Linked DNA regions of Lepisosteus oculatus. The protein of the gene in region 3 interacts with the protein of the main gene of each other region in a biochemical or structural test. Links are inferred from orthologs where the notes say so. Each region holds a gene or a part of one and is shown on either strand. Other genes may lie near its edges.

Evidence for each region.
Region 1: the proteins of low-density lipoprotein receptor-related protein 1 (region 3) and apoeb form a complex in vitro, tested with the Homo sapiens proteins (2 studies listed by IntAct, with this or other methods). The link is inferred for Lepisosteus oculatus from reciprocal best matches to the Homo sapiens genes LRP1 and APOE.
Region 2: the proteins of low-density lipoprotein receptor-related protein 1 (region 3) and disabled homolog 1 form a complex in vitro, tested with the Homo sapiens proteins (2 studies listed by BioGRID). The link is inferred for Lepisosteus oculatus from reciprocal best matches to the Homo sapiens genes LRP1 and DAB1.
Region 4: the proteins of low-density lipoprotein receptor-related protein 1 (region 3) and plat form a complex in vitro, tested with the Homo sapiens proteins (2 studies listed by BioGRID). The link is inferred for Lepisosteus oculatus from reciprocal best matches to the Homo sapiens genes LRP1 and PLAT.

The regions. Positions count from the first base shown.
Region 1 is NC_090722.1:10,419,228-10,427,018, forward strand, and holds the start of apoeb (apolipoprotein Eb), read right to left. Parts: upstream 3,368-7,791; 5' UTR 3,261-3,367; intron 1,999-3,260; 5' UTR 1,972-1,998; coding exon 1,929-1,971; intron 103-1,928; coding exon 1-102. Other genes in the region: apolipoprotein A-IV-like, read right to left, coding at 7,410-7,791. UniProt on the Homo sapiens protein: APOE is an apolipoprotein, a protein associating with lipid particles, that mainly functions in lipoprotein-mediated lipid transport between organs via the plasma and interstitial fluids.
Region 2 is NC_090704.1:17,826,767-17,835,058, forward strand, and holds the start of disabled homolog 1, read right to left. Parts: upstream 3,607-8,292; 5' UTR 3,334-3,606; intron 1-3,333. UniProt on the Homo sapiens protein: Signaling adapter of the reelin-mediated signaling pathway, which regulates the migration and differentiation of postmitotic neurons during brain development.
Region 3 is NC_090696.1:18,807,096-18,815,233, forward strand, and holds the start of low-density lipoprotein receptor-related protein 1, read right to left. Parts: upstream 3,382-8,138; 5' UTR 2,844-3,381; coding exon 2,747-2,843; intron 1-2,746. UniProt on the Homo sapiens protein: Endocytic receptor involved in endocytosis and in phagocytosis of apoptotic cells. Required for early embryonic development. Involved in cellular lipid homeostasis.
Region 4 is NC_090697.1:65,894,801-65,902,513, reverse strand, and holds the start of plat (tissue-type plasminogen activator), read right to left. Parts: upstream 3,248-7,713; 5' UTR 3,106-3,247; intron 1-3,105. UniProt on the Homo sapiens protein: Converts the abundant, but inactive, zymogen plasminogen to plasmin by hydrolyzing a single Arg-Val bond in plasminogen.

The DNA.
Region 1 (7,791 bases), on a different chromosome or scaffold from region 3:
CCATCTTGGTGTTCACGTCAGCCACATACTGCCAGAACTGGTCCACCATCTCCTCCCATTTCGTCTTGGGCTCTTCACTGGGCACAGCACGGGCCTGACAGCCTGGGGACACAGGTCAGTGAGTCTGTGTGTCTTCTAGTCCCTCTGGAGTCCAGCACACTGACACAGCCCAGTCACAGGCTCTAGACTCTTCTAGTCCCTGTGGAGTCCAGCACACTGACACAGCCCAGTCACAGGCTCTAGACTCTTCTAGTCCATGTGGAGTCCAGCAAACCGACACAGCCCAGTCACAGGCTCTAGACTCTTCTAGTCCCTGTGGAGTCCAGCACACTGACACAGCCCAGTCACTGGGCTCTAGACTCTTCTAGTCCCTGTGGAGTCCAGCACACTGACACAGCCCAGTCACTGGGCTCTAGACTCTTCTAGTCCTTGTGGAGTCCAGCACACTGACACAGCCCAGTCACTGGGCTCTAGACTCTTCTAGTCCCTGTGGAGTCCAGCACACTGACACAGCCCAGTCACAGGCTCTAGACTCTTCTAGTCCCTGTGGAGTCCAGCACACTGACACAGCCCAGTCACTGGGCTCTAGACTCTTCTAGTCCCTGTGGAGTCCAGCACACTGACACAGCCCAGTCACAGGCTCTAGACTCTTCTAGTCCCTGTGGAGTCCAGGACACTGACACAGCCCAGTCACTGGGCTCTAGACTCTTCTAGTCCCTGTGGAGTCCAGCACACTGACACAGCCCAGTCACTGGGCTCTAGACTCTTCTAGTCCCTGTGGAGTCCAGCACACTGACACAGCCCAGTCACTGGGCTCTAGACTCTTCTAGTCCCTGTGGAGTCCAGCACACTGACACAGCCCAATCACAGCGATCTAGACTCCTCTAGTCCCTGTGGAGTCCAGCACACTGACACAGCCCAGTCACAGGGCTCTAGACTCTTCTAGTCCATGTGGAGTCCAGCACACTGACACAGCCCAGTCACAGGCTCTAGACTCTTCTAGTCCATGTGGAGTCCAGCACACTGACACAGCCCAGTCACAGGCTCTAGACTCTTCTAGTCCCTGTGGAGTCCAGAACACTGACACAGCCCAGTAACAGGCTCTAGACTCTTCTAGTCCCTGTGGAGTCCAGCACACTGACACAGCCCAGTCACTGGGCTCTAGACTCTTCTAGTCCCTGTGGAGTCCAGCACACTGACACAGCCCAGTCACTGGGCTCTAGACTCTTCTAGTCCCTGTGGAGTCCAGCACACTGACACAGCCCAATCACAGCGATCTAGACTCCTCTAGTCCCTGTGGAGTCCAGCACACTGACACAGCGCAGTCACAGGACTCTAGACTCTTCTAGTCCCTGTGGAGTCCAGCACACTGACACAGCCCAGTCACAGGGCTCTAGACTCTTCTAGTCCCTGTGGAGTCCAGCACACTGACACAGCCCAGTCACTGGGCTCTAAACTCTTCTAGTCCCTGTGGAGTCCAGCACACTGACACAGCCCAGTCACAGGCTCTAGACTCCTCTAGTCCCTGTGGAGTCCAGCACACTGACACAGCCCAGTCACAGGCTCTAGACTCTTATAGTCCCTGTGGAGTCCAGGACACTGACACAGCCCAGTCACAGGCTCTAGACTCTTATAGTCCCTGTGGAGTCCAGGACACTGACACAGCCCAGTCACAGGCTCTAAACTCCTCTAGTCCCTGTGGAGTCCAGCACACTGACACAGCCCAGTCACTGGGCTCTAGACTCTTCTAGTCCCTGTGGAGTCCAGCACACTGACACAGCCCAGTCACAGGCTCTAGACTCTTCTAGTCCCTGTGGAGTCCAGCACACTGACACAGCCCAGTCACAGGCTCTAAACTCCTCTAGTCCCTGTGGAGTCCAGCACACTGACACTCCAGTCTGGCTCGACTGTGCCAGAGACTCACTTACCTGCAATGACAGCCAACACCAGAATCACAACCAGAGTCCTCATGGTTCCACAGGAGGGTTTGTGCAGCAGCTGCAGAATGAAACACAAATGTAGCTCCAGATACAGCAGGGAGACCGAGGGAGAGAGGGATGAAGAGTGATAGAATTAGAAAATAGAGAAACAGGAGTGAGAGAATGGGAGAGGGATGGAGAGAAGAGTGAGAGACGAAGTACAGGCTCAGTGACCACAGCCTGGACACTGACACTGGACACAGGCAGACCTGACTGCCCAGAGAGGACAGGCTCAGTGACCACAGCCTGGCCATAGACACTGGACACAGGCAGACCTGGCTGTCCAGAGAAGATAGGCTCGGTGACCACAGCCTGGACACACACACTGGACACAGGCAGACCTGGCTGCCCAGAGAGGACAGGCTCGGTGACCACAGCCTGGCCATAGACACTGGACACAGGCAGACCTGGCTGTCCAGAGAAGATAGGCTCGGTGACCACAGCCTGGACACACACACAGGACACAGGCAGACTTGGCTGTCCAGAGAGGACAGGCCGTGGTCCCACTGCCAGCGAGGGTAATCAGAGACTGAGGTGCACTTCCTACTGCACTGTGACAGATTCTCTGGGATTAGAGAGACATTCTTCCCCAAATTTACACATCTGATCCCAGAATTCCCCACACCTGCCAGAATCACAACAGCTCCCAATCCTACTGGGAGAGGGAGAAGGAACTCAGTTGAACTGGCAGCCCAGTGTGTGATCTCCTGTCCCAGCCTGAGGACCAGTGAGCCTGTCTCCCAGTACTGCTCTAGATGTCTATATGTAAATATCGTATGACTGTGTCTGTGTTGTAAATGGCTGTAGATGTTTCATGTTTATTGTATTAGTTTTGCTTTGGCAACACTGATTGTAGATGCCAATGAAACTTCTTGAACTGAGCAGGACTGAGAGGAGAGAGAAGTGACTCTGTCTGTTAACAGGTCTGTTTCTACCCCCTGTTTGCGCGCACCTCCCCGTGATTAAGCTCCGGAGCGAGTCAGATCCACTCGGACAGCAGCGCGTCCTCAGAGTCCCACAGCACCCCACGCCCGGACACCCCACGCTCGCGTCGAGTTATCGGCTCGTTCGTCCGGGCCACATCGGCGCGTCAGACAGCGAAATCGATCTTTCATAACTCCGTCTCAGAATCAAAGCGCGCCTTATAATTGATCACCCCGCTGCCAGAGCGGTGCTGACATCGCCCCTGCTCCACGAGCAATCGCGGAGACGTTAAACCTCCCACTCAACTCGGACCTGAGGTCGGCGTGTAGCGTCTACAGAAAGGACCGGCTGTCTCACCTGGATCGATGCTCCCCGCCTTGCCTCTTCCTCGGTGACTTTCTGCTGTGTGCGGACCGCCTTTTTATACACGCGTGGGGTGGGGTGTGATGTGGGATGTGCGTGTGCGTGTGTGTGTGTGTGATGAAGTTCCTCGCGAGGTTACTTCGTGCCAAAGCGGGCGGGCGCTCGGGGCGCGCGCGCGCGCGTGTGTGTGTGGGGGTGGGTGTGGATGCGCTCGTGTCCGGGGACAGGCAGGGGTCAGCGCCGAGCTCGGCAGCCCGTGGTGCCCAGGTGCGGCGAGGCGTGGCGCCCTCCGAGGTCCGCGGTCCGAGGTCCGAGGTCCGCCCGCCTCTCGCTCAGCGCTCCTGCTATCGGCGCGCAGCGATAACGCGCTCACCCGCGAGCCCCGCATTCTGATCTTATCGGGCCGCGCCGAGCGCAGACAGGACAGCCCCCCCACCCACCCCCCCCGGGGAGAGCGAGAGGGAACCGGCGTCAAGCAGCCCAGCTCCCAAGACGCCTCTTAGGAATTCATCATTAACTGTAACCATTAACCAAAACTCAAACTCCAGGGAGAATGAGAGGGCGCAGCGTCTGGCACAGTACAGGCAGAGGGGGAGACGTCTGGGGGGACAGGGCACATACCTCGGAGCCTAGCAACAGGAGAGAGGTTACACTCAGACACTCAGACACAGCCCTGCTGCTCGCTGACTGATCCCAGCATCATCCAGCTGTTTCTCCCCAGGAGCCCAAGTATCGGCTTCCACATCCTGCCCGGACGATCCCCCCCAGCTGTGTCTTGAGTGACGCCACGTTACTGCCTTCCACAACACGGCTTGGCAGTCTGTTCCACCCTCCCGCAGCTCTTTGTGTAAAGACATGACTCCAGGAGACAGTCTGTGCCACGGGCGCTGGATACTTGCTGACTGATCTCTGACTTTGCTCTCTTTTCCCACTGTCCTGTGGCTGGCTGTGCTGTGTAGGTACTGTAGGTGTCTTCTGCACTGTTGTCTGCTGTGGTGACTTCTCTCTGATGTGACGAGTGTGAGGATGAGGCAGGCCAGTGGAGCTCAGAATTGAACTGAGAGACGGAGACAGAGCTGAGAGCTGAGATATCAGACAGAAGGATTATCTCACTGGGCTTTACAGCACTTTACTGTGCTTTTACCCTGATCTCACTGGGCTTTACTGCACTGTACTGTGCTTTTACCCTGATCTCACTGGGCTTCACTGCACTGTACTGTGCTTTTGCCCTGATCTCACTGGGCTTTACTGCACTGTACTGTGCTTTTACCCTGATCTCACTGTGATTTACAGCACTGTACTGTGCTTTTACCCTGATCTCACTGGGCTTTACTGCACTGTACTGTGCTTTTACCCTGATCTCACTGGGCTTTACTGCACTGTACTGTGCTTTTACCCTGATCTCACTGGGCTTTACTGCACTGTACTGTGCTTTTACCCTGATCTCATTGGGCTTTACTGCACTGTACTGTGCTTTTACCCTGATCTCACTGTGATTTACTGCACTGTACTGTGCTTTTACCCTGATCTCACTGGGCTTTACTGCACTGTACTGTGCTTTTACCCTGATCTCACTGTGATTTACAGCACTGTACTGTGCTTTTACCCTGATCTCACTGGGCTTTACTGCACTGTACTGTGCTTTTACCTTGATCTCACTGTGATTTACTCCGCTGTACTGTGCTTTTACCCTGATCTCACCGTGATTTACTGCGCTGTACTGTGCTTTTACCGTGATCTCACTGTGATTTACTGCGCTGTACTGTGGTTTTACCCTGATCTCACTGGGATTTACTGCACTGTACTGTGCTTTTACCCTGATCTCACTGGGATTTACTGCACTGCACTGTGCCTTTACCCCGATCTTACTGGGCTTTACTGCACTGTACTGTGCTTTTACCCTGATCTCACTGGGCTTTACTGCACTGTACTGTGCTTTTACCCTGATCTCACTGGGCTTTACTGCACTGTACTGTGCTTTTACTCTGATCTCACTGTGATTTACTGCACTGTAATGTGCTTTTACCCTGATCTCACTGGGCTTTACAGCACTGTACTGTGCTTTTACTCTGATCTCACTGTGATTTACTGCACTGTACTGTGCTTTTACCCTGATCTCACTGGGCTTAACAGCACTGTACTGTGCTTTCACCCTGATCTCACTGGGCTTTACTGCACTGTACTGTGCTTTTATCCTGATCTCACTGGGCTTCACTGCGCTGTACTGTGCTTTTACCCTGATCTCACTGGGCTTTACTGCATTGTGCTGTGCTTTTACCCTGATCTCACTGGACTTTACTGCACTGCGCTGTGCTTTTACCCCGATCTCACTGGGCTTTACTGCACTGTACTGTGCTTTTACCCTGATCTCACTGTGATTTACTGCACTGTACTGTGCTTTTACCCTGATCTCACTGGGCTTTACAGCACTGTACTGTGCTTTTACCCTGATCTCACTGGGCTTGGTGCTGTGCTTTTCCACACTCTGACACACAGATGTGGAGATGCTGAGTTTCTCAGCTTTGCTTCCTGTTGGTTGGGGGGCTGCAGGCAGGGGGGTTTCCGAGGGCAGCACAGTACCGAGCCCTGGCTCTCCCATGTGCTCGGGAGTCGCTGGCGTCGTCCCTCCCTGCCCCCCCACCAGAGCGCCAGCACCACGAGGTCCCAGGCCACCGAGAGGGAACTGCTGACAACACCGTTCTCAGCTTCCTCAGTCGCATGGGTGTGCGTCACCGAGCACTCGGGGATGTCAGATCATCTGATCCCACAACTGGGCCAAGAGCCGACAGCCAGGTCTGCCTGTGTCCAGTGTCAGTGTCCAGGCTGTGGTCACTGAGCCTGTCCTCTCTGGACAGCCAGGTCTGCCTGTGTCCAGTGTCAGTGTCCAGGCTGTGGTCAGTGAGCCTGTCCTCTCTGGACAGCCAGGTCTGCCTGTGTCCAGTGTCAGTGTCCAGGCTGTGGTCACTGAGAGCCTTTCCTCACTGTACAGTCAGGTCCAGTTTCTGTGGCCAGGCTGTGGTCTCTGAGCATGTCCTTCCTCAGGGTCTGTTTCTCCTTGCTGTTTCTTACACTGCTCAGGTATTCTCCTGGTGTGTGTTGTGTGTTTAGGGTTCTGTAGCATTCCAGTGTGTGTGTGTGTCCCAGTGGGTGAGGCAGTGTTGTTTGGCTTGTGCTGTGAAGTGCTTGAGCCTCGCTCGTGTTGCTGGAGCTGGGCTGTCCTGGGCCTGGATGGTGTCCGTGAGCCTCAGGACCAGCTGGCTGAGGGGCTCTTCTCTGGGCTCAGCAGGGCCTGGTGGTGGTAGATTTCTGGTCACTGTCTCTCGGGGGTAACCAGTATTCTAGAGCTGTCTTGAGTAAGTTGGTTAGTACTGGGTATTGGCCTTATTTAGTCCTGCATGCGCTGTGAGGAGTTTATCTTTGCACACAGGCTGTTTTTACAGAGCTCCATGCGCAGAGTGTCTATGGGGTGTTCGTCCCATTCAGTGTTATCCTGGTCTGTGATTGAACTCCACTCTCTCTCCCTCTCTCTCCTCCCTCTCCATCCTCTCTCCCAGCTCTAGATAATTTCTCTAGGATAAAGAGAGGCACGGGGACACTGGGGAGGAGAAACAGGTGAAAACAGAGGAAGAGAGGGGGTAGTGGGCCGGGCTTGGGTTACTCTGCTTACAAAAAAAGGTCGTTCTTTTGCTTTTGTTACAAAAAGAAAAACCTTTTGAGAAAAGAAAAAGATCATACAGTACACTGGGGTTTTCTCATTTTTTCACTCTTTATTCGCATAAATTAAGGAGGAAAGCAGCACAATGTTACAGTACAGAGTAAGACACACAGGGGAGACCCCCCACACTCTTGCCCTGCTCGAACCCCGAGCCAGGCTGTGCTGTGTGATGGGGGACGGTCAGCGGAGAGAGGGATTGTGGGAAGGGGAAGCTCGGCGCCTCCTCGTCTTACAGCCGGGCTCCTGAAGACAGCTCACACACCCCCTCCCCGGGCCATGGTACGCTCCGACCCCAGGGGCAGGCCTGGGTGCGTCCAGCGGAGCAAACCATCGGCACCCTCCGAGCGGGGGTGGTGGTGGTGGTCTGTGTGGCGGGAAGTGCGCGGGTCCAGGGTGCGGGAGAGATCAGTGGAGGGGGGCGATCCGATCTAGAAGCTCTTCTGGAAGGAGTCCCAGAGGGAGGAGAGCTGGGCCCGCAGGTCCTGGGCGTAGGGGTCCAGCCGGCCGCGCAGGTCCTCGGCGTAGGGCGCCAGGCTCTGGGCCAGGCGCTCCTGCAGGCTGCGGGCGTAGGGCGCCATGCCGCTGCGGAACTCCTGCACGCGCTGCTCGATCCGGGCGCGCAGCTCGTCGGCGTGGGGGCTGAGGCGGGCGCGCAGCTCCTCCACGCCCCCCTCCAGGCGCCCCTGCAGCTCCGCGCTCCGCTCCTGCAGCGCCCGCCGCAGGTCCTCCGCGTTCTGGCCCAGCGAGTCGCGCAGCCCGTCGGCGTAGGGCGCCAGGCCCTGGCGCAGCTCGTCCACGCCGGCGCGCACC
Region 2 (8,292 bases), on a different chromosome or scaffold from region 3:
GCTCCTGATGCCCCCAAAAATAAATGAGCTGCACAGCACTGGGGGGAGAAAAAACCTCATTTAGCTGAAAGGAATGGATGCCTTGAGTGACTTCCTGTGGAAAGCCAGGTATTTGAACATGGATGTCGGAAGGCATACTGCTGAATGACCCACTCACAGGCACGGATGTGGGGAGTGGCATCCAGCAACAAGAATAGAACAGCCAGCTCAACATTCAATTACGGATGCCGGGAGTGACAACCCGAGGAAAGCCAGGTATTCGTACCCGAATGTCTGGAAGGCATACCTCTCACACGCATGTATGTCGGGAGTAGCATTCCGCGACTAGAATAGAAGAACTGAAAAAAAAAATCCCAAAGCGATGCGGGAAAACAAAAATAGATGCGGTTTCAAAGTATGGCTCAGCATTCTGTCACGAATGTCGGAAAGGCATGCCATGGAATGGCCAGGAGAGCAATAAAGACCCTATGCATAGCGGCAAAAGGGGCAACAAAGAGGTTAGTCCGTGCTTAGGGGCTCAGATAATGTCCAGTAGAAACCTATGCCCCCAGGCTGCAGAGGAGATGCACTGGTGCTAGGCGGGTCTCAAGACATCTGAACCCTCAATGCTAAGCGAAGAGCAAAGGGTGACTCGGAAATATATAGCCCCACACAAGGACACACTGGAAGGACAAGAAAAGCACAGGGAAACTAGGAACAGGACAGAGTAGGTGTCCTCTGGACGTTGAAGGCGTGACAGCCATATAATTTCAGTGGACATTAAACAACAATCTTCAGTTGACAAAGACATTTAATCATTTTCCATGAATAACAGGTGTTAGGAAGTGAACAGTGTGTTTAACTATATTTTTTGTTGTCTACTGTTCAAATACATGTGTATAAATGAGAGTAATCCAGATATTGTATGAGATAAAGTGCAAATAGACTAATTTTAAAAAGCTTTGTTTTCATTTCTTAAGACAATACCTCAATTTAATTAAACAAAAATGAAAAATTGATGAAAAGTTAATGATTTTCTTTAATATACAAAAATACATAACCTATACCAAAACACAAGAACTGGATTGAGTGCTCTCTAATATACCATTCACAGTGATTACATGTAATACCAACATAAAGAAATGCTTTCTGTGAGCATCTATCTGATAAAGATTCAACGTACTAAAGAACCGTTGAATTACTAAGGGATTTCCTGTAGAGTTTTCTCTACTGGAAATATATATATATATGATGAATTAATTTTAATTTTAATCCTTAACTAATACAACAGTATATTTTTGCAGAACATCTCAATCTGTTCCAATGTAATGGACATGCATTACATCAACAGCTAAACATTGTATTTTTCAGCATGAATCAGGTAATTCACTTTTTAGTATATTAGTATCAGCCTCTGTCGTAAATGTGGTTCAGTCACTAAACATCAGCTGCTGATCTGTATTCAGAATACACATCTAAATTAGCACATTAATAGAAAAATAAATATATAAATAATGCTTCTGAACTACTGTATGTTGCCTTGCAAAACGTAAACCAGCTTGAAGGCTGCCATACAAAGGAATGAAGTGCAGTAGTGAAAATAGAAATAAATCAATAAAAAAGAAGGCGTTATATGCAGGATTTTATCATATTTTAATAGTAATAATGTCAGTAAAACTGAGTGACCTAACCATATTTCACACCGATTATACAGGTATATCTTAGCTTAAGAATTTTTGTTGTTGTATAAAAACAGTCAGGCCACTACATATACTGTACATGCATTCAGTTTTAGAAGTGAAATATTCCAAATCATTAAACAAGGGAGAGAAGTACAGTACATGTATCATATTTATTTTGGGCTGTGAATATTTCTTGCAATTTCCATTGTGATGTAGTACAATGCGTCCCTTATGTGTCTTTTGAATTGCAGGCAGTTGAGCAATATTTCAGACAGCTGATGCATAATAGCAGCACCAAAGGCACTTGCAAAACACAGCACACTGCAGTTCCACTTCAAATAATTCCAAAAATCAGCAGTGTACTGTCTCTCTGAAAAATACAAGTGACCCAAGTTGTAAAACCTAAAGAGGATGTCTGCAGTAGTAAGGCACATATATAAAACAAAATCTGACAAACCCTTAAAAGCTGTAGTCTGTTTGACTTCCTCTTTGACTTCCTCTTCTCCATTGTTTTTCAATCAGTAATACAGTACATATGCTTATGTAGAATGTCGTCTAATTCCTTGTACAATCAGTGAGGTAGAAAAAGAGGATAATTTTAACACACAGCAAGTTTAAAGGACATACTATGACTGGCAGTTTAGCCAAAGAACTGGTCTAGAGCACGTACTCCAGTTATATTACTTTCCTTACAGCCCTTTGCTGACTGACACAGACACACATGCAAAAATGGGGCACAGACAGTGCTGTCACACTTCAGGATTGAACTAAAGCTTCACAGCAGGTACAATATAATGACAAGCCCCTTTTAAATGTGCTCTTTCAGAAATAAGAGTTAAACTTTTACAGGAATAACTATTTGCATTTTGATTCCATCTCACACAGAATTCCTTTTGAGCTGTTTGCCTCAATGGAAAAGAACTGTAATCTTTTGCATTTATCCTTGTACAAATACATACATACTTAGGGCGTTTCACCCCTTTAAACTCCATTTAGATCTTATTATTAGCCACTAACTGAAAAAAGACATCCAAGATCTGTGATACTTGTAACAGGGGTGTATTAAGCAAATGCATACACCTGTAGAGAGATTGATAAGACAAAGACTGACATACAGTAAAGGTTGATATTTAAACACCAAGATGGACTGCAATTTTATTGATGGAGAGCTTGTCTTGAATAATCAATGTAGTACTTCAATATTTATCTTAATCCTCTTTATGGAATTAGAAAATCAATTTAATAAAGATATGAGAGACATGAGGAAAATGAATTAAAGTACATTTTATAGTTTAGTGAAGCTAGTCTAAGGTTTTGATGCCCCTGTATGTGATCATATCCCGAAGTACTACACATACAGAGGAGGAGTACAGCAGCAGTAGAGCTGGAATTGATGACAAACTGTCTACTGTCTGTATCCAAGCAGACCCATTGCATTTTCCATTCCATAACATAAACCTCTAAAAAAACACAAACACAAAAAACTTGGAATTAATAAGGCTGAAGTGGGACAAATCACCACTCACAGAGACAGATGCCTAATGCAGCTGTGTTCCAAGGTACTCCTGCAATAGCCTTCTCAATGACATTTTACTGACTGGAACGCCCAGGGTTTCCCTCCCTGCACTCCTGCAATGCAATGAAAAGCAATGTGATAGACAAATTCTCTTACCTTGAGCTGGTGTGCAGCTGTCCCCCATACAGACCCCCTCACTCCCTCTGGCGTGACTCCCACCTGAAGAGTCCTATTCCCTTTGACTTGTCCCACTCCAGAGGCTAAGCCTTTCTGTTTGGAGAAGGTAGACCCCCTTCTTTTTGGGAAGCCTGCCTTGCAAAGTGGTATCCGAGTAGGAAAAATCCTCAGCAGCTCCAATCCAGCTTCAGCAAACACCTACAGTCACAGCAATAGCGGCAGCAGCAATCTGCAGGCCACATCGTTCATACCTTATACATCACTACCACATTCCTCCTAATAGCAGATCCCTCCACCCCTCCCCTCTCTCCCATACCCTCCACCCCTCCTTCCCCGGTATCCTTGGCAATGAGGATTTTCACAGGCTTAAGGAGGAGTAAGGCATGGATGAATTGATTTCCAGAGGCAGTACGTCCTTATCAGTCTCCTGCTAAGCACTCAACTAAACAGCCCCATCAGAACTGCATTGTTAAAAAGGAATAAATATATAATATATAATCCATAGAATACCACACATTCCTGTAATGTATTTAGAGCATAATGCATGTATATCATATCGTTTTCTTTCTTTCCCTACTCATTAATTCACCCTCAAATGTGTATTTAGAGAAGAAAATCATTCTGGACCATCAAGTAAATATGGTAGACAGCACCGTGCAATTGTTACATTAAATTCAGTTTGCATAATGCAGCATTAATAACTCAAGCAGGAGTGACCATTTGGTTTATATCACTGGGAATCTATTTACATAATCAGCATAAGCAATTATGATTCAAACATCTTGCCACAAGTTAGGTCTTCGAATACCTGCCAATAATATTTTTTGCAATGCAATGGTTCAAATAGGTATGCAGGATGACTGCTAGAACATTCAGAGAGCAAATGCTCATAGAGGTTTATTGTGTTACATAAGAAATAACCATGTTAATACATTAGTTGGCATATAATCAGAGGTGTGATTTTTTTTTACATTAGTTCTGCGGATATTGGGGGGTATGGTATCTTACATATAACATGTCAGATCCTTTAATTCCTTGCTCATCACCTCTGGCACGAACTTTGTTACAGTAACAGTGTTCACATGTGCTTTGTAAAAAGACAGTAGAAAGATCACTCCATGGAAAGTCCTTTGCTTCACATTACTGATTGTTTACAAGAGTGTCTCTAAATAAACACTTGACATTGCCAACAGAAAAGTTTAGATATGACATTTGAAGGTGTCCAACCAGTTTCATAGACCTGGTGTGACAAATTTTTACTTTCCAGTGAAGAACTTCAAAATCAAAACCATCATTACTTCAAACTACAGTGTGTCAACAAAATATTCAGGCCCTTGTTCAGTCTAAAATTTATTACCTTTAAACTTGCAGTCAAGTTACTTTTAGAAGTTCTTAATATTTGTTGTATACTTAACACACTCCACAATTTCAAACCAAAAATTAAAAGAGCATGTAATGCAGTAGCTGGATACAGCTGCATGGGTGGTGATTTGTCAGAACCCAAGTACAGGAGACCGGAGACTGAAAAGTAAAAGATGATAATGAGAATTAATTACTGGCCAATGGGGCTAATCAGCCCAGGTCAGTTAGTAATGGAAGAAATCATCGATCCTAGGAGAAGCCAGGCTAACCACATCCCTGCTGAAAAGAAAGGCTACTGATTAAAGCCCTTTGGAGGGAGTCTTGGGTATGGAAGGGACCCCAATACTGGATCCCTGAAAAGGAACTGAACTGGCTTAGAAGGCAGCCCTCAAAGGCCAGGGGTGCAGATCGGAAAATTTGAGGGTTGAGGTGATGAGCAGTGAAAAGAAAAAGTGAAGTTAAAAGGTACTGGCTAGAATAGAGACTACCGCCTCAGGTGATGCAGGGTAATTGTGAGCTTCCTTGGAAAGGAGCTGGACAGATAGAAGGGCCGACTTGAGGCCGGGGGTGGGGGAGGGAGATGGCAAACAGAAGGGATACAAAGTTCTGAGCTTGAACAGAGGCAGCTCTAAGCAGAGGAATGGAGGTACTGTGTAGAGACATTTTAATACTTGAGAGAAAGGAGCAAAGAAACCTGTCTGGTGAGTAGTTAATGAACAAAGGGGAACTACAGCCTACAGGAGGACTCCCGATATAGCCCAGATGTATACTGGGGAAATTGGACTGTGTGGCATCCCTCTTCTATGTGTTGCTGTACTTCTCTGTACCATTTAGACCTTCTAACACCCTCTCCTCATCATCTGAAAGGACAGCAGACACTCAGGAAATCATTATGATGCTTGGAAGTACCTTTTTGTTGCTGAGAATGCTGTTTTCTTTGGGTCTTGGAGTAATAGTAAATGTTGTTGTGCTTAGAAAATAAAAAGGGAACTTATATGATACTAATGTTTGTTGCTGGTTTGTGTGTGCATTGGTGATTCTGGGATATGAATAGAACCTCTGGTTTAGTAGAGCGGTCCTAGCCTCCTGTTTGTATTGCTAGGTGGTGTAGTCATATACGAGGCAGGAAATAATTATTGTTTGAGGGGTCACCTCATTGTGTCAAGAGCCCTAAAAAAAAGAAAAACAGACTTCAGGACGTTCATGAGGCACCAACATACTGTAAGTGCAGTCAAGACACAAATGTGGGGTGAGACAGAAGTGCAAGAGAACGTGCATGTGGAAAAATGAAGAGCAGCCCCTTGGCTTTATATAAAAAAGTGGGAATTGAATAATGAGCTAATTAACACGGATCACAAAAACATGATCTGGTCAGAGCAACAAACCCCTGGAAAACCATGAGCCCTTGTTAGAATATGATGGTTTTCCAGGGCAATCTCTAGCCGAAGGACGTCGTCATGACAGAGAGAAATAAAATATCTAATTAATACGAAAGAGAAATAGAAAAAGCCATAACTGCATTAGAATACAAATCATTGTTGTGTCAAACCTAAATTAATTTGTAACCAAATTAAAGAGCATATTTAGTTGAGTGACATCTGACGTGTATGATAATGTTTGCACATAACTCATAATTTCAGAATAAAAACATCAGGCTCTGTGAAGATTCTTGGTTAGGTAGTGAATTTAAAGCAAAGACTCAACCATGGAGACTAAAGAGTTTTTAAAGCAAGTCAGGGATAAAGTTTTTGTAAAACACAGTAAAGGGTACAGAAATATAGAAGTCTCTGAATATCCCTCTGAGAAAAGTCTACTCAGCCACTGAGAAACTGACAGTACCTTTTACCACTTAGATACTGAATTGATCAGGCTTTCCCTCTAAACTAAGTAGCTGAGCACAGTGGAATTAGGTTAGGCAAACCACTGTGATAGCACAACACTACCAATGACAGCTTTGAAAGAACTACAGAAATCAATAGCTGAAATGGGAGAAAATATGCTTGCTTTCACTGGAACACTGTGGAGTGATCTAGAGTTTGAGACGGTGGTCGGCCAAACTTCCACTCACCTGTCACTCAGTACTGGTAACAACAGAAACAGATTCTGACAGGCAACTTGTATCACCTGTGGGCAATTTAAATCCACATCTGCATCAGGTGATGCAGAATATCCAAGGTCAGACATTACTCAGGGCTCTGATATACTTGTCATGTCCACTGCTTAAGGTGGAATTAACCAGCAGCTGTGAGAGACGTAAGATGAACCCATGCACTGGGCGAAAGAGAGAAAAGTGCATAAGGAGAAGTGCAGGCAAATATGGTGCGGACAATTACACTGTGGTCAGATTGTAAATGGTACAAAGCTAGAGAGACAGTGAAAGCATAAATGGAATTCCACAATCATAATTGAGACAAGCAGGCATAGTTCATAGCACTGGAAATCACAGAAGCACAAAGGGACAAATCCACAGAATTGATCAGGTTGAAGCTAGAGTCAAGAATCCAGGAAAATAATAAACACAAAGTAACTCAGGAACAGAGCGAGGAAACAAAGCTGAGGTCAGAGCTAAACTCTATACCAGAGCCGTGAGTACTGTCCAAGCAGACCTTAAATATTCTGCACCACTTGATGTGGGTCTGGATGCAATTTGCCCCATGGTGATAGAGGTTCTTGTTGGAATGTGTTTCCTTGGTAACCGGCACTGAGTGACAGGTGAGTGGAAGTGTGGCCGACTCCCATGGCAAACTCTAAATCACTCATCTAGCTCTCGTTCCAGTGAGAGCAAACCTGACAGCTAAATTCTATAGTTTTGCAACAAAGAACCTGCAAGATCCTGCAAAAAGAACAGTAGTAAAAGGTGCTGTGGTCAGATGAGACCAGATTGGAACTTTTTGTGAAATAAATAAATATCAAGTATCAACAACACAACACATCTCCTAGTAAACACCATTCCTACAGTCAAATATGATGGTGGTATTATCATGTTAATGACATGATTAACTTCTGTAGGGACTTGAAAGCTTGTTAGGATTGAAGAAAAAATGGTTGGAGTAAAGTACAGGCAAATACTAAAGGAAAACATGTTTCAGTTGGCTAAATACTTAAAACTCTGATGGAAATTCACCTTTCAGCAAGACAATGATCTACAGCACGGCTATACTAGAGTGTCTTAAGAAAAAGAAAATGAATGTTCTTGAGTGCCTCAATTAAAGTCTTGACTTGAATCCTACTGAAAATCTGTGCAGACTTAAAAACTGCTGTCCATAAGCAATCTCTAAACAACTTAATAGCAGCTTAAGAAAACCTGAATAAATCTGTCAAGACAAATGGGCAAAAATTGGACCAAGACAGTTTTCAAAATTGGAAGATACTTACCTACAAGACTCATGGCTGTTGTTGCTGCTAAAGATGCTTCTACCAAATATTGAGATTAGGGATTGAAATTCTTACAAAACTAGCATATTTGTTGTTAATGTTTTTTTCTAAACTCTTACACTTTCAGTTTATGCATTCATGTTTCAATCACTTATTTAAAAATCAGTATGTATAAGTAATATCACAAGAATGGACACTATA
Region 3 (8,138 bases):
TGTGCCCTGCTGGGGAAAGGCCTCACACAGAAAACCTCTAACAGTCCCTCAAGCTCTCATCCGCACAGCATGCTGAGAGGACCACCGAAAAACACAAAACAGGCTCTTCCAGCGTGTCTTTAGTCTCCTGCTATGAAACTGTTAAGGTAGTTGGAGTCCACACAGAATCAAGGTAGTAATACACTGACTTCACAGCTGTCACAAACAATCCCAGGTTGTTGTTTTTTACCTCAAAAAAAAGTCTCATTTCTGCATTTTAGAAAACTATTCAAGATATTTTTGAAGGGGTGGCCAGTGTGTGGAACAGAAACGCACTGCATAATGAATGGCAGGCTACGCGAAGCGAAATTAATTCCACTTTAATATGGACTGCAAGCAGCGAGGGCCTAAGGTTGAGCAACTGTAGCTTCAGCACATTTTGTACTATAAAAGGTACCCAAGCACTATTTTTGAACGCCTTAAAAAAACTAAAAATAATAAAGGACCTGCCCCATGTCTCAGACAAAATACGTCTTAACGTCTTGGAGCAAAATATGGAAATACCATTCTCTCTCCTGCAACCTTAGAACAGCGACAGGCATCGCTTCCAAGAATTTCCAGAACGTTACTCAGACCTCATTAGTCGGAACTGAAAGGACGAAAAAGTCTCAACAGCTGTGCGCGCCCTGTCTTTAAGCCAAAAGAAAACGCTTTGTATTTTTCTGTTTCTAGAGTAGCTTATTACGAGGTATCGTGAGGCTAATTACATGGCAGGGATTGTGGGGATATTGTCATTAAAATAGCTGAGAGGGGAGGGGGGCTGCTCTTCACTCGGAAGTTCAGACAATATCGCGACTTGCCGACAGAGGAAAAGAAATGTTTCTTAAGCGAACACTTCCCCTACACACGCCCCACGCCTTCATTACTAAACGTACCCAGAGCGACGCGCGCATAATTGTTTCCAGAGCTCGGAATCTGCGACGCTATCTGAAATCAATTCAGCTTTTTCAATACCCTCCTGCCTGCCTGGCAGTGGGACGAGTTTCGTAACTCTGGCTCCAGATGTGCTTTAGGTGCTGCAGAGTGTCCGAAGCAAGAACGAGCCAGTTGCTGACCTGCAACAAGCCAGTTAAAAAATAATGAACAACAGTTGTGCGCAATGATAGGTTTGTGAAGTAGCCCGTTTGGTTGTCTTTCCTGGCTCATACGAATACCGCGATTCTACCGTACGTGCAAAATTCAGCATCGCCAACTTTTGAACGCTTTTCGTTATTCGGGAATAAACGCATTTCATCGGGAACACAGCATGCTACAGCCCCCACACACACACAACACACACTTCAGTTTAAAAGGCGGGCACCGCTTCAAATCTCCTCTCCCTGTTGCACAGCATTTCACAGGACCCTGCCGAGCCGAGCAGCTCCCTGCGAGTCGAGTCCCCCTGACACGCACAACCGCAACGTTCACACTCCGGCGGCCCCCTGGTCTCACCGGACTGCCTCTCCCCGCCGAGCCCCTCACAAAATCGGAGGAGGAGGAGGAGGAGGGGGGTTGGTGAGCAAAGGCAGTAAGAAGAACGCTATGAATTAACCATCAGCGCGGGAGTGGAGCGGAGCCCCAAACCGACTGTGTCAACACACACAGCAACACGCGTTCTCTCGCCTCGTGCAGTCGGGAGCTGCACAAGTTTCCGACGGCAGTCACCGCTCGGGCAGCTACACAACTACACACGTAATCTCTCCTGCCGCCCCCTGCGCCTTCAGTCTCTGAATCAGTGCTGTTGTATTCCCCACTCCTCAAAATCTGCATCCAAGTAGGATCGTACTTTTTTTATTATGAGACTTTGCACTTGACTTTTCCCAAAAGCGCCCTTTTCGTTTTGGGTGGGAAAACTGTAACCCACCTAGCGCCGTCTCGCGAAAAAGGGGGGAGAAAGTGTTTTTAAAAAAGCATTTCAGGACTGGCACGAAACCATCAGAGATCTGTTGATCGCAGGAGAAAGCCGTGTGCTGTGGTTACTTAATCAGACAGGGGGAGCAGGCCCATTGCATTCTATGGCGCTGTTTATACAAGCAATTTATTTTAAAAAAACGGGGGCTACAAGGAAATACGCTCTCGCTAGGTACAAAATCAGGAGAGCGCCTCACATTCCCTACCAGTGAGGATGAAAAACCGTGCATGCGAATGTTACATTGTTGTGTTTGAGGCGAGAGAAGCAGCGGAGATGTAACAAAAACACGTTGATGCATTTTCTGGAGACCTCCCCCGCCTGCAATCACACGGCAGAAAAATCCACTTAACCCGCCTTTTGTTTCCAACTGATAGCCGTATATTGAGACGGTTTACCTCTAAGAACAACATCTCAAGCCATGCAAAAACGGGTTCTGGGGTCCCGTGAGCACGGTTTGTTTCACTCTCGGAAAGGCACACAAAACACACGTTTACCCGGACTTATGACAAGCATGCAGGTAGCCGAGCTAACGGCAGATGCCTGTGCGTGTGACCTGGCTCACAGAGGAAAACGTTGCCTGGTCTCTTTTACAGGCGGAAAAAACAACTGTCCATCCCCTAATCGCCCGCATTAGGAACACACAATTTCACGAAATGCTGCGAGGCACGCACGACAATTCAGGTAAACCGAGCGAGAGCTGAACATAAAAGCGTCGTTTCCACTTCGGAAATGCGTTCACCACGGCAGCAGCGGATAAACAGACGCGTACATCTGTCTGGAAAGGTGCAGCGTTTTTAATAAATCACGGCTTCTTACCATCGACGGCTCTGGCGGGAGCCGTAACCTCCAGACTGTGCAAAATTCCCAGGACAAGCAACACCGTGGCCAGAGCCTCTGCCTTGTGAGACACCATGGTTGTGCAAAAAAAAAAAGGGCAGATTAACAGAAAACCGAAAAAAGATTTCAAGAAACACACAGCTGGGACTCCGGTTCTTCCCGAACCGCGGTTTTGTAGTCCGGACTCGAATCCCCGACGAGATTCTCCGGGCGTCCTCCGGCACGCACACTCGAAATAAAGGTGCGACGACAATATTCAGATTTTTTTTTTTAAATGCCGTTTTTTGATCTGAAAAAGCAAACGAGGCTTCTTCAGCCCCGTGAGGCTACGGCTCGTCTTGTGGTTATCATGTAGCCTTATTGATTTGCAGCCACATCTACGTAGAAAAAAAAAAAGGACCTGAGGTGGTCAGTAAAGTGACCAAATCGTGCGCATGAAAAATAAAAAGGAAACGTTATCTGATCTATGGATATCGGCTGTTTTTGTTTTCTGTCTCACTGACTGTAATGTTGATGATATTGTCTGCAGGAGGAAAAAAAAAATTAAAAAGCTCCTCTCCCCTCACCACCCCACCGCCGCCTCTGTTGCTGGTGGTTACGGATTGAGCGGAGAAGAGCGGCGCTGCAGCCACACAGCCCAGCGGGCAGGGGATGACGTCACTCGCTCCAATGGTATTCCGAAGCCAGGAGCAGCTACGCGGCACTCGCCGTGTGCGCACGCGCCGGGGTCGGCGTGCTGGGTTTTTTTTTTACCTTTTTCTTCATCGAGCGCACAAGAACCTTTTGAAACTGCCTCTCTAATTGCCCCCATTTTGGATCTGGCGGCTTCAGGCATAGCTGTTAGAGGCCGGCCCCGTGGACTGGAGCCAAAATGGGTTTAGTTTCATGAAGTGAAAGGGGCACAGGGAGGGAGAGACTTTCACGGCGCGAGTCTAATGCATAACAAACCTTCTGTCATTTCTCCTTCCGTTTTCACTCGTTTAAAGTGACTTTGCAACGGTGGACAAAATAGCACGACACGAATTTTATGAGTGTTGGATTTTGGTTTGTGCTTTACGAGTTTGTATTCTGTACGGCTCGCTTATTCCTGCTTAGAAATTGAAGACATTCAGCAAATGTAAGCAGAAGTGCCTTAATTCTTGTGAAAGAACAGTGCCTGGTTCGTGTGCTGATCAGCCCTCAAATAGCCCAGTGCAGGTATGCAGACACGTTAATTCAGAGGGTGCTGCACAGAAATGTCAACTGTACAGCTCAGATCTCTCTGTATATCCTGCTCATCAGCGGGAATACTGGGAAGAATATTTCACTGCCTCGTGCTTCATGGGATTTCAGAATGTCCTCCTTTGGACCGGGGTGTCTTATCTGACCAGCGTCTGAGCTGATCAATCAAAAAAGCAAAGAAAAAAGTCTTTCACAGTCTCAGGCAGACATTAAGAAGACTTGCTCATCAGCAACTGATATTATCAATTTGTTCCAAAAGATTAAGAAATCTTACTTTCAGAGAAACTATGGCCTTTGGCCCTCGTGTGGGCAGGGCTGCTCCTATGTCTGCTGTTGCCTGTCCTTTGATGATGCTGGACATGGGATAGTGGTAATAGAAAATGCTCTTTTCTCTCAGTAGGTCAGGAAGGTAAAGTGCAAGATTCCCAAGGGTAGTACTAGTTTACTGGGGGACCCCAGATAGAAATGTTAGGGTCCCAAAAAGAAATACCGTCACACATGGATTTAAGTGGATTTCTCCCACACTACTGTCTCTACAGTGGATGTCTCCCACACCGCTGTCTCTACAGTGAATGTCTCCCACACTGCTGTCTCTACAGGGCACTGCTGTCTCTGCAGTGGATGTCTCCCACACTGCTGTCTCTACAGTGAATGTCTCCCACACTGCTGTCTCTACAGGGCACTGCTGTCTCTGCAGTGGATGTCTCCCACACTGCTGTCTCTGCAGTGGATGTCTCCCACACTGCTGTCTCTACAGTGTATTTCTCCCACACTGCTCTATCTACAGTGTATTTCTCCCACACCGCTGTCTCTACAGTGTATTTCTCCCACACTGCTGTCTCTGCAGTGGATTTGTCCCACACTGCTGTCTCTGCAGAGAATTTCTCCCACACTGCTGTCTCTGCAGTGGATTTGTCCCACACTGCTGTCTCTGCGGTGGATGTCTCCCACACTGCTGTCTCTACAGTGTAGTTGTCCCACACTGCTGTCTCTGCAGTGGATGTCTCCCACACTGCTGTCTCTGCAGTGGATGTCTCCCACACTGCTGTCTCTGCGGTGGATGTCTCCCACACTGCTGTCTCTACAGTGTAGTTGTCCCACACTGCTGTCTCTACAGTGGATGTCTCCCACACTGCTGTCTCTACAGTGGAGTTCTCCCACACTGCTGTCTCTACAGTGGATGTCTCCCACACTGCTGTCTCTACAGTGTATTTCTCCCACACTGCTGTCTCTACAGTGTATTTCTCCCACACTGCTGTCTCTGCAGTGGATGTCTCCCACACTGCTGTCTCTACAGTGTATTTCTCCCACACTGCTCTCTCTACAGTGTATTTCTCCCACACTGCTGTCTCTATAGTGGATGTCTCCCACAGTGCTGTCTCTGCAGTGGATTTGTCCCACACTGCTGTCTCTGCAGTGGATTTCTCCCACACTGCTGTCTCTGCAGTGGATTTGTCCCACACTGCTGTCTCTGCGGTGGATGTCTCCCACACTGCTGTCTCTACAGTGTATTTCTCCCACACTGCTGTCTCTATAGTGGATGTCTCCCACACTGCTGTCTCTGCAGTGGATTTGTCCCACACTGCTGTCTCTGCAGTGGATTTGTCCCACACTGCTGTCTCTGCGGTGGATGTCTCCCACACTGCTGTCTCTACAGTGTAGTTGTCCCACACTACTGTCTCTAAAGTGGAGTTCTCCCACACTGCTGTCTCTACAGTGAATTTCTCCCACACTGCTGTCTCTGCAGTATATTTGTCCCATACTACTGTCTCTACAGTGGATGTCTCCCACACTGCTGTCTCTACAGGGCACCGCTGTCTCTACAGTAGATGTCTCCCACACCGCTGTCTCTACAGTGGATGTCTCCCACAGTGCTGTCTCTGCAGTGGATGTCTCCCACACCGCTGTCTCTACAGTGGATGTCTCCCACACTGCTGTCTCTGCAGTGAATGTCTCCCACACTGCTGTCTCTGCAGTGGATGTCTCCCACACTGCTGTCTCTACGGTGGATTTCTCCCACACTGCTGTCTCTGCAGTGGATTTTTCCCACACTGCTGTCTCTGCAGTGGATGTCTCCCACACTGCTGTCTCTACAGTGGATTTGTCCCACACTGCTGTCTCTGCAGTGAATGTCTCCCACACTGCTGTCTCTGCAGTGGATTTGTCCCACACTGCTGTCTCTGCAGTGCATATCACCCCAAGCAATTGAGGGCACCACTCTCCTGGAATTGTATCTTGGTAAATATTATGAGAGCATTAAAACATAAAAAGGTTACAGACAAGAGTTTGCCTTTTTGTGCTTCTACCTCATTGTTTTTACTAGTGCCTAACTGATCCAAGGATCTCCTCCTGCCATTTCTTAAAGAAGCCAGGGTAACAGCTTCAGCAATATGCCTGGGCAGCAAGTCCCAGACTCCCACTGCCCTCGGCGTAAAGAAGTGCCTGCTGTTCTCAATTTTAAAAGCATTTTCCTGTAGTTCTGTAGTTTCCACTTTTGTCCTTGTTTCCAAAATAGTACATGGGGCTGACTTTTGCTGTTTCAATTCAACAGACATTATCCCTGTCTTGAGTGCCCGTTAAAAGAGTTGTATATGAATAACATAGCTTGTTTCCTTTAGAACAACTGGCAGAATACCATCAGGCTCTAGAGATTTTATCACAAATAGTAATTTCAATGGTAATTTCAGATACAAGTTCGCCTGGCTTTCAGTACCTAGTGTTTTACATTTTTTAACTGCTGCATTACTACATTAGAGTATCACAGGATGCACACAGCAGGATGTTTCTCTGCTGATAACCTTTTAGCATAAGGGTATGTGTCACAATGTTTATTTGTTTTTCTCCCGTTTCTGAAATGTCCACCAGTCTTCAATTTGAGACTGCGTGCTTTACCCACCCACAACAGTGCACTTAATAAGCGGTGTCCTACTTAAATACACCCTTTCAAAACACACACACTGGGAGACAGCCACAAATATCTCCTGGCAGTATCCCGGAAGTAGTGCTGCTGTTTTTTAAAGAGTCTCCAAAGCCGACAGGAGGACAATCTGTGGGATCAAAGAGCATTGGAGGTTGGGCATCTCTGCATCAGATCTGGGAAGTTGACCCTGGGTGAACAGAGGGCTGGTCTTGGCTCACTGTTACCATAGCCAGCAGCCATATCACCCTGCAATTTAAGACTGAAGCTCAGCTGGTGTGAGCCTGGCCAGTACCTGGATGGGAGTCTAAGGTTGGTGCTGGAAGAGGTGTTAGTGGGGCCTGCAAGGGGCCCTCAATCTGCAGTCTGTGTGGGTTCTAATGCCTCAGTGTAGTGATGGGGACACTATACTGTAAAAAGGTGCCATCCTTCAAATGAGACATAAAACTCTCCTCCTGACTCTCTGTGGTCATTAAAAATTCCAGGGCGTTTCTTAAAAAAAGAGTAGGGGTGTTGCCCTGGCATCCTGCTCAAATGGGAAATTTCCCATTGGCCTTTACCAATCATGGCCTCCTAATGATCCCCATCCCTGAACTGACTTCATCACTCTGTTCTCCTCCCCACTGATAGCTGAGTTGTGGTGAGTGGACTGGCTCACTATGGCTGCTGTCACATCATCCAGGTGGGGCTGCACATTGGTGGTGGTAGTGGGATTCCCCATTACTTCTAAAGCGCCATATAAGTGTAAGGAATTATTATTATTACGTGTGGCCGGCTAGGGCGTTACATTCCTCGGTTTCACAGAGAGGCGTGAACTTGTCTAAGCAAACGTCCACCGTGTTCTCGAAACCAACGTGCACACTGACAGCCACTGCGCTGCAGAGGCTTCGGGGAAAAGAAGATCTCGGGCTGGTCTGAGTTGCAAGACAGGGGGAGGCTACCGAGACAGAAATGGTGCAGTGAAGGCTAACAAACCCTTGCGTCTGAAGTAACAGCAGTTTCTAACTCAGCTCGAATCCTGGTTTGGCAGGCAGGCTTTGGGAGTAGACGTGAGAGTAATTACACTCATTCCCATGCTGTCAATCCAGCATCTCAGATGCCTGTTGATGTCAGTCTCCGTCTCTTCCCAGCCCAGGTTGTCTTTGCATTCCACCCCCAACCCGAGCGATTCGTGAGCATGAAGGGTTTCTGCATCAAGGGTGAACGCTGAGCTCCACACGCTGCACACGAGAG
Region 4 (7,713 bases), on a different chromosome or scaffold from region 3:
CGTTTCGATTCAAAAAAAGAGAGAACAGGAAACGACCTCTCGCCCGGCTAATCACACAGCGCGCAGGCCTGGTTCTCGACCACCAGCGGCGGACGGGCTCTCGAACTGCTCGTGGACAAATATCGCGTGGGGAGTGGACAGTTCTGCGTTCACGGACGCGACGGGAGTTTACGGATTCAGCTGTGTTCCTAAATAAACAATCATGAGCATGATACTTTAAATATTACTGCGGACTAACCCGTCCCCTGTGTGTGAAAACGCACATTTCCTGTAGTGCTGTACCTACTGTGTACCTCTGGTTAAAAACGTCCACGCACGACAGCGTGTTCAGACCTGCCAATACTCGGTTGTGAACTTGAATCTGGATGGTTAGGTTTCAATCGTCGCTGTAATACGGAAGCGCATCGCTCTCATCAACGGAAAACACCTATTTCATGTGTTGTCTCTGGGACATTATCGCGTACCTTTTGTGATAATCGTGCGATAGCACTATTGTCAGAGAATACCTGAATTATCATTAGTTGACTGGTAGTTTTCGGCAGTGGAATCGATCGCACGGTACACTTGATTAAAGGATTAGTGTGAGCGCCCTCAAGGTTATAAGGGCTGTGGAATTGTAACGTCATGAACCCCAGTCGAAAGAAAAGTCCATATACCTTTTGCAGCTCTGGACACCGTCAGTAACACTAGACACACAGTTCCTGCTGAACTATCTGTAACTTCTATGTGCTGTGTCATTGCACAATGTAATAAGCTGTTCATACACTCAAATTATCATTGGTATCTCATAATTCACGATAATTTACTATTTTGTAATTACGAGATGGTAGTTTCTCGAAATTACGAGATATAATGTACGATGTCGTAATTACGAGATCATTTTCTCGAAATTATGAGATAATGTACAATCTCATAATTACTAGATAGGTGGAAATCCTAAATCACGAGAAACCGCTTTTTTTCCCCCTGTGATGGCAGCAATGCGCTTCTGTGCCACGATAAAGCCCTGTTTCAGATAGAAAGAATCATCTTCCCACGGTTCGTCCGATTCCCACGGCAGGCAGGTCGAAACCACACCTACAGTATTACCAGTTACCTCCCCGCGTGTTCAAGGACACGGTCCACCCACAGACCCCGAGGAACTGGGTCCGAGTGCCGTCGCCAGCCCGGCAGCGGAGCTGAAGACACGGGAAAAAGGGAGGGAGAGAGAGAGAGCGGCGGGAAGGGAGAGACGGATCTGGCAGGAGGGGAGAGAACTGTGGATGAGTAAAGCTTTAGTCACCATAGCCCGGCAACCAGAAACTCTCCTCTCCGGCAATTACAAGGCGGAAGAGACGGGAGGCCGAAATTACTGGCCAAGACCCAGCACTGCGATGACTTTTGACCCCGCTAATTCAAGGAAAGAGCTCATTTTCTTCCTCAGCTGCAAGGCGATACCTTGTATTAAAAGAAATAACAATAATACACAGTCCAGCTGTTTCGTAACTCAGGGTTCGTGTTCCATATATTTTCCCATTTCCTGGATAAGAGGTGCAACCGGCGCGGCAGGAGGAATAACCAGTTTTGAATCCCAGGGTTTTTTATTACCGGCTGTATGAGGTTTGACACGTATTGCCTTCATCCTACAGCCACCTTTCCAGGACAAGGCCGTGATAAACACGGCAAATACCGTATAGCCTTGCAGGTCTGAAGCGAAGGAGAGCAGAAGAAATCTCCGGACGCGGAGAGACTTTCTGTCGCCCCGGCCGGGCAAAGTAAAACCGGTCGGAATCTGTCGGAGCCTGTGGTTCCGTTTCCCTGCCCTGATTAAACTGTGAGCCGCGGAGCTTGAACCACTGTACGTTTAGCGTTGTTAAGACCGACCGGGTCGCATCTGCCGCGTAGCCCGAGGTCACGCAAACAGCGGCGGAGAGCGACACCCCCGAGGCAGCGCAACACACATCCCAGGGGCTCGGCTAATGCGCCAGCGAGCGGTACACCACCTCTTGCTCTAATCTCCTGGTTCAGATCCAGCAAGGGGCTGCCGGTAACAATAGAGTTCTTATTGCAGCGGATTCCTAAAGCACTGTACCCTCCTGTATAAAAGCGGGACACCCCCGCGCTGTGGAGAGACAAAGGATTTATTCAGCCCGTATAATTCCTGCCCAGATACTGTAGATGCTCGTGCGTGTCTTTCTCAGCACCTTTTGCGAGACAAAACCCCTCACGTCACTGAATCTAAGGTAACGTTTCACGAACGTTTTTTTTTTTCAGTGCAGATACGGAATTGCTGTACTCTTCTGTTTTCCGCCTGCACTGTCTGGGAGCCCTCGTTAAAAAAAAACAGGGAATCTGGAGACGAAGGGAGGACAACGTCTTATCTAAGAGTCGAAATCTCTGGGTGCGCTCATGAAATCAGAGTTTGCAGTGAGATTCTGATCGTGGTTAATCGACGCGGAGTCGCAGAGGACTGCAGAGCATCCAGGCTTCAGAAACGTCGCGGATGCGGCATTCAGAATCGATAACAACTTCATCGCAAGCTTTTCGCTACAGTCGGGCAAAGAAAACGAATAGGGCAGTCTGCGCTTTGGCAGTAACGCTGTGAATTCGTAGTTAAAACTTTGCCGTCTCGCGTTTTTCTTCATCATTTCCAGTTTCACACAAGCTGCAGTAGGAATTAGCCTGAAATAACTACACGATTACTAAAAACCTGCAATCGCAAACGTGTAATTGCCGGACGCATGCTGATAAGGAGTGATACTGCTTTATTCAAAGTATTACAAAAAGTAATATATATTTTAAATTAAGTGTCCCCCAAAGATGCAGCAGTATTATCGATTTCACCAGTAATAAACATCTGCAGTTACTAAGAAAAGAAGAACATGAGATGTTTTTAATGCAGCTGTTACCACTGTGCGGAAAAACAGGTGCGCTCTTGTACAGCAGCTATAGTGTAAACTATATAGTATAGTATATGGATACTGTATACTCTACTGTATACTATATATACTGTATAGATACGACTTGTTATCACAAGAAGGTCGTTCGTCGCTTTGCTGCAAGTAATGGTTTTAGTAAAAGTTTATAGCGCTGCACTTGTTAAAGGGTGCCAAACGGACAACTCACCTTTGAAACCAAGGTCTCCCTTCAGTAGTCTGGCTGTGTACTCGATGGGCACGGAAGCGATCGCAGTGCGGTTCGAGTTCTGTCGGGTTCGGTTAAGTCCAGTCGCTGTGTTTGCAGGCTCGCTGACACCAGGCTGCTCTGCCTGCCTGCAGCGCGGAGCCCCTATTTATGCGCGCCGAGGTCTCGGTGAAGATGATCCGGCAGCTCTGAAGGGGAGGTGACGGGCACCTCCCGCCTCTCTCCAGGCGGGGCTCATCTGGGGCACCAGAGAGACGGATAGGGTGAAGTCGCCGGCTGGCACCGGGCCTGACCCGCACATTGGATGGATTCAGGATGGGGGGTGAGTCAGAGATAGGAATAGTTATACAAACCGATTGTCATCAATTCGGTTCCGCTCCAGATTAAGATTTTTCATAAAGTAGTTGGAAATGACGTGCCGTGACCTCAACTCCGTTGACAGTTTTAAGTGTGTGCTGTGTTGGTTTTATAATCATTTGTTTAGCGCCTTTTACAATGGCGGGCGCGCGTGTGTATACAGTATATATTTTATAGGTTCGTTTAATGACTCGAAGGGTTTTACTCGCGTTCGGCTGTGCAATGTTTCGCCCCCGAACACCCGTGGTTTTATAAGAAAGAAAATGAGTTGTCATGGTCCCGACAGGAAAAAAAAATACAATTCAAAGGAGATTGTTTACCTCTGAGATCTCCTTCGAGAAGGAATGTGACCCCCCTGGCGGATGATATACTCCAGAAAGAGTCCTGTTACAGAGACGGACGTTTTCTAAAGAGGAGAGTAGATGAAGCAGGTCGCAGGGCGGCCTCTAAGAGTTGTTTGGAGTCTCCAATTGCGTGTTTTCGCAGCATTTATAGAAAACATCATCATCATGAATGAGTGAATAAGATACTGAAGATGAATAAATAAGGTACTTGGTTACATAAATCAGCACTTAAATAATTCCCAGTTTTGCTTCTGGACGTGCTGGACACGTATGAATAACCTCAGAAGAAAACAGAACTGAGTCCTGTAACATCTCGATAATCACTGCTACTCTACATTAGAAACATCAAAAATAATAATAGGATTGATTTACCGCCTGTACTCCAACTGCTGTGCATAGTGATTCCTTTTCTATTTCAGTGGCAACGGCTCCTGCTGCAGTCACTAATACTGCTATACTGTACTGCAACTCGTACTTCTGCTACAGTCACTAATACTGCTATACTATACTGCAACTCGTACTTCTGCTACAGTCCCTAATACTTCTATACAGTACTGCAACTCGTACTTCTGCTACAGTCACTAATACTGCTATACTATACTGCAACTCGTACTTCTGCTACAGTCACTAATACTGCTATACTATACTGCAACTCGTACTTCTGCTACAGTCACTAATACTGCTATACTATACTGCAACTCGTACTTCTGCTACAGTCACTAATACTGCTATACTCCTGCTCCTGCAGCTCTTACTTTTGGTGCAGTCACTAATAGGGCTATACTACTGCTCCTCTGACTCGTACTTCTGCAACAGCCACTAATACTGCTATACTACTGCTCCTGCAGCTCTTACTTTTGGTGCAGTCACTAATAGGGCTATACTACTGCTCCTGCAACTCTTACTTTTGCTACAGTCACTAATACTGCTATACTACTGCTCCTCTAACTCGTACTTCTGCAACAGCCACTAATAAAGCTATACTACTGCTCCTGCAGCTCTTATTTTTGCTACAGTCACTAATAAAGCTATACTACTGCTCCTGCAGCTCTTACTTTTGCTACAGTCACTAATACTGCTATACTCCTGCTCCTGCAGCTCTTACTTTTGCTACAGTCACTAATAAAGCTATACTACTGCTCCTGCAGCTCTTACTTTTGCTACAGTCACTAATAAAGCTATACTACTGCTCCTGCAGCTCTTACTTTTGCTACAGTCACTAATACTGCTATACTCCTGCTCCTGCAGCTCTTACTTTTGCTACAGTCACTAATAAAGCTATACTACTGCTCCTGCAGCTCTTACTTTTGCTACAGTCACTAATACTGCTATACTACTGCTCTTGCAGCTCTTACTTTTGCTAAAGTCTTTAATACTGCTGTACTCCTGCTCCTGCAACTCATACTTCTTCTACAGTCATTAATACTGTTATACTACTACTCCTGCAACTCTTACTTCTGCTACAGACACTAATAAAGCTACTGTATATTACTGCTTCTGCTACAGTCATTAATACTGCTCTACTACTACTCTTGCAACTCGTACTTCTGCAACAGACACTAATACAGCTATACAATTATTAGCTATTAAGCTAAGAATTTATTTATGTGTGTTTGTATATATTAATGTGCATTTTCATACTAAAGGTGTTGGTCTGTCAGTACAGAAGGGATGAAAATGATTTGGATAACAGAGTCTGGTGGAATCCGAGAGAGCTAGAATACACGAAGCAGTCACCGAAATGCCTCCGCAGAGCTTCTTCATAGATTTGTCGTTTTCATTATGCAGCATATCATATAGGACCAACAATGAGAATGATTAAGTCACTTCAGACACTCTATTTTAAAAGGAACAACACTGTATTCTTTTTGTTACTTTTTTCTTTGTTTTACCAGTGTCCGTTCCTTTTCTCTCCATGAGGTTTAACTTTTATTTTACTGCATTTCTGGCATTCTCTTTGAATTTCTCAACAGACGGAACTGCCCCTTTGTAATCTTCAGTAAAAGGAATCTTCCGGTCTGACAAGGTGCCGCCTGACATCATACAGTGGCGACGTAATAACAAAACAAGCGCAGCCCTGGGCTCGAGCTCGCAGGAATTCCGACTGTACAGAGGACCGCGCGAGCCTTCACGATCACGTGATTTATCGCGTACTTCTGACGCAGGTCAGGAAACCCCAATTTGCGATTAGCCAGAACAATTAACCAAGTCAAGCTTATATTGTTACAACGTATATATCGCCCGTGAAATAAACTGGAACGAGATCACCCCCTGTAACACCCTGTGAAAACTGCATATCGACGCCTGATAAGCAAATAAATACAATTAAAGAATGGTAATAATTGAAAATAGTAATATTAGTTTTAAATTCGGACTCTCCTCAGTCATTAAGTATTATTAATTAAAAGAGATACTGGCTATCTCAACAACAGAGACAGACAACAGAGTTGTGTTTCTCTACAGTCATGCCACTTTGTGAAACACATGCACAATAAATAAACACGTTTAAGAACCACCTCCCTCTGCACTTCCATGACCTGAGAGTGACATCATGTCTTCTTAATTGAAATTGAATCCAGTATGCGAAACTGACAGAATTTGCAAGTGGACCGTAAAAGACAATATTTGGAGAATTTTCTTAGCAACCCGCGGCGTTAACATCTCATAATGTGGGCGTTTTCAGATGAAATGCTACTCATTTATGACTATTTCTGGTGAGATGATGGATGAAAGTACGGTTTGCGCCGTATCTCGATCTAATCAGTGCGTTTCGCCGGCAGATACCATAGGAGTCACCGTGTGACGTCACTGTTTTAGTAACCTTTATGGAGCGCCCGTGCGCCTGATGACCGAACGGATTTCTCGAACCGGATCCATGACAGCACTCTGGCACTCAAGCCCATAACATGCTGTCCGCGTGTGTCATGCTGGCTCCGGCCGCCCCGGGCCCGGCAGCGCTGTCTGTCAGCAGCCCGGCTGCAAGGCACTGCGACGCGGGCTTCACAGAGGACAGGCGCTCCGCGGGCTTGTCCGCCACTGCGCCTGGTGGAGTCAGGCGCAAGACCGCGTTAGGAAGATATGGGACAGCTCCGACAAGTGCAAAGCGTTCTTGAAAATCATTACTGACTGTTCCCCGTGAGCTGTTGTTTTACCCATGCCCCTCGATCTGTATCCATATAGGATCTGTATTTAAAAGGGTTGGTTTTGTCTATAGCATCTGTATTTAAAAGAGTGGATATCTATATACTGTAGGATGTGTACTTAAAATGAGGGAATATATACAGCATATAGGATCTGTACTTAAAATGAGTGGGTATGTACAGTATACATACTGTATATGTTTTTAAAGTGAGTGGATATGTATATAGAATCTTTGTTTAAAATGAGAGAATGTGTATATATGATCTGTATTTAAAAGCGAATGGATATGTAGATAGGACCTGTATTTCAATTAGTGGATATCTGAATTTAAAATGAGTGGATATGTAGATCGGATCTGTGTTTAAATGAGTAGATTTGTGAGTTAACGTCCAAAGTGTGAAGGCAGTTTTGTGTCCCCGAAGTCAGCTGAAAATTTAGATCTAATTGTGCTCTGGTTTCCTCCACTGGTCCGAAGACACACTGGCTTCTGGGAAAAGTCACGCTGGTCTGAGAGTGTGTGTGCCCTGTGATGGATTGGCGTCCTGTGCAGGGTATATCCCACCTTGTACCCATTTCACACTGATGGCTGTAATGCCTTTAATTTGCAATGTACTGTTGTTCCAGCTGGGGCTGTGAAAGACACCCTGTTACACCATGCTCAAGCACAACACCAGGCACAAAACAGAGCAGACTCCAACACAGCATCCACTGGGACAACATTCACATGTCTTCCTGTAATTGCATACTA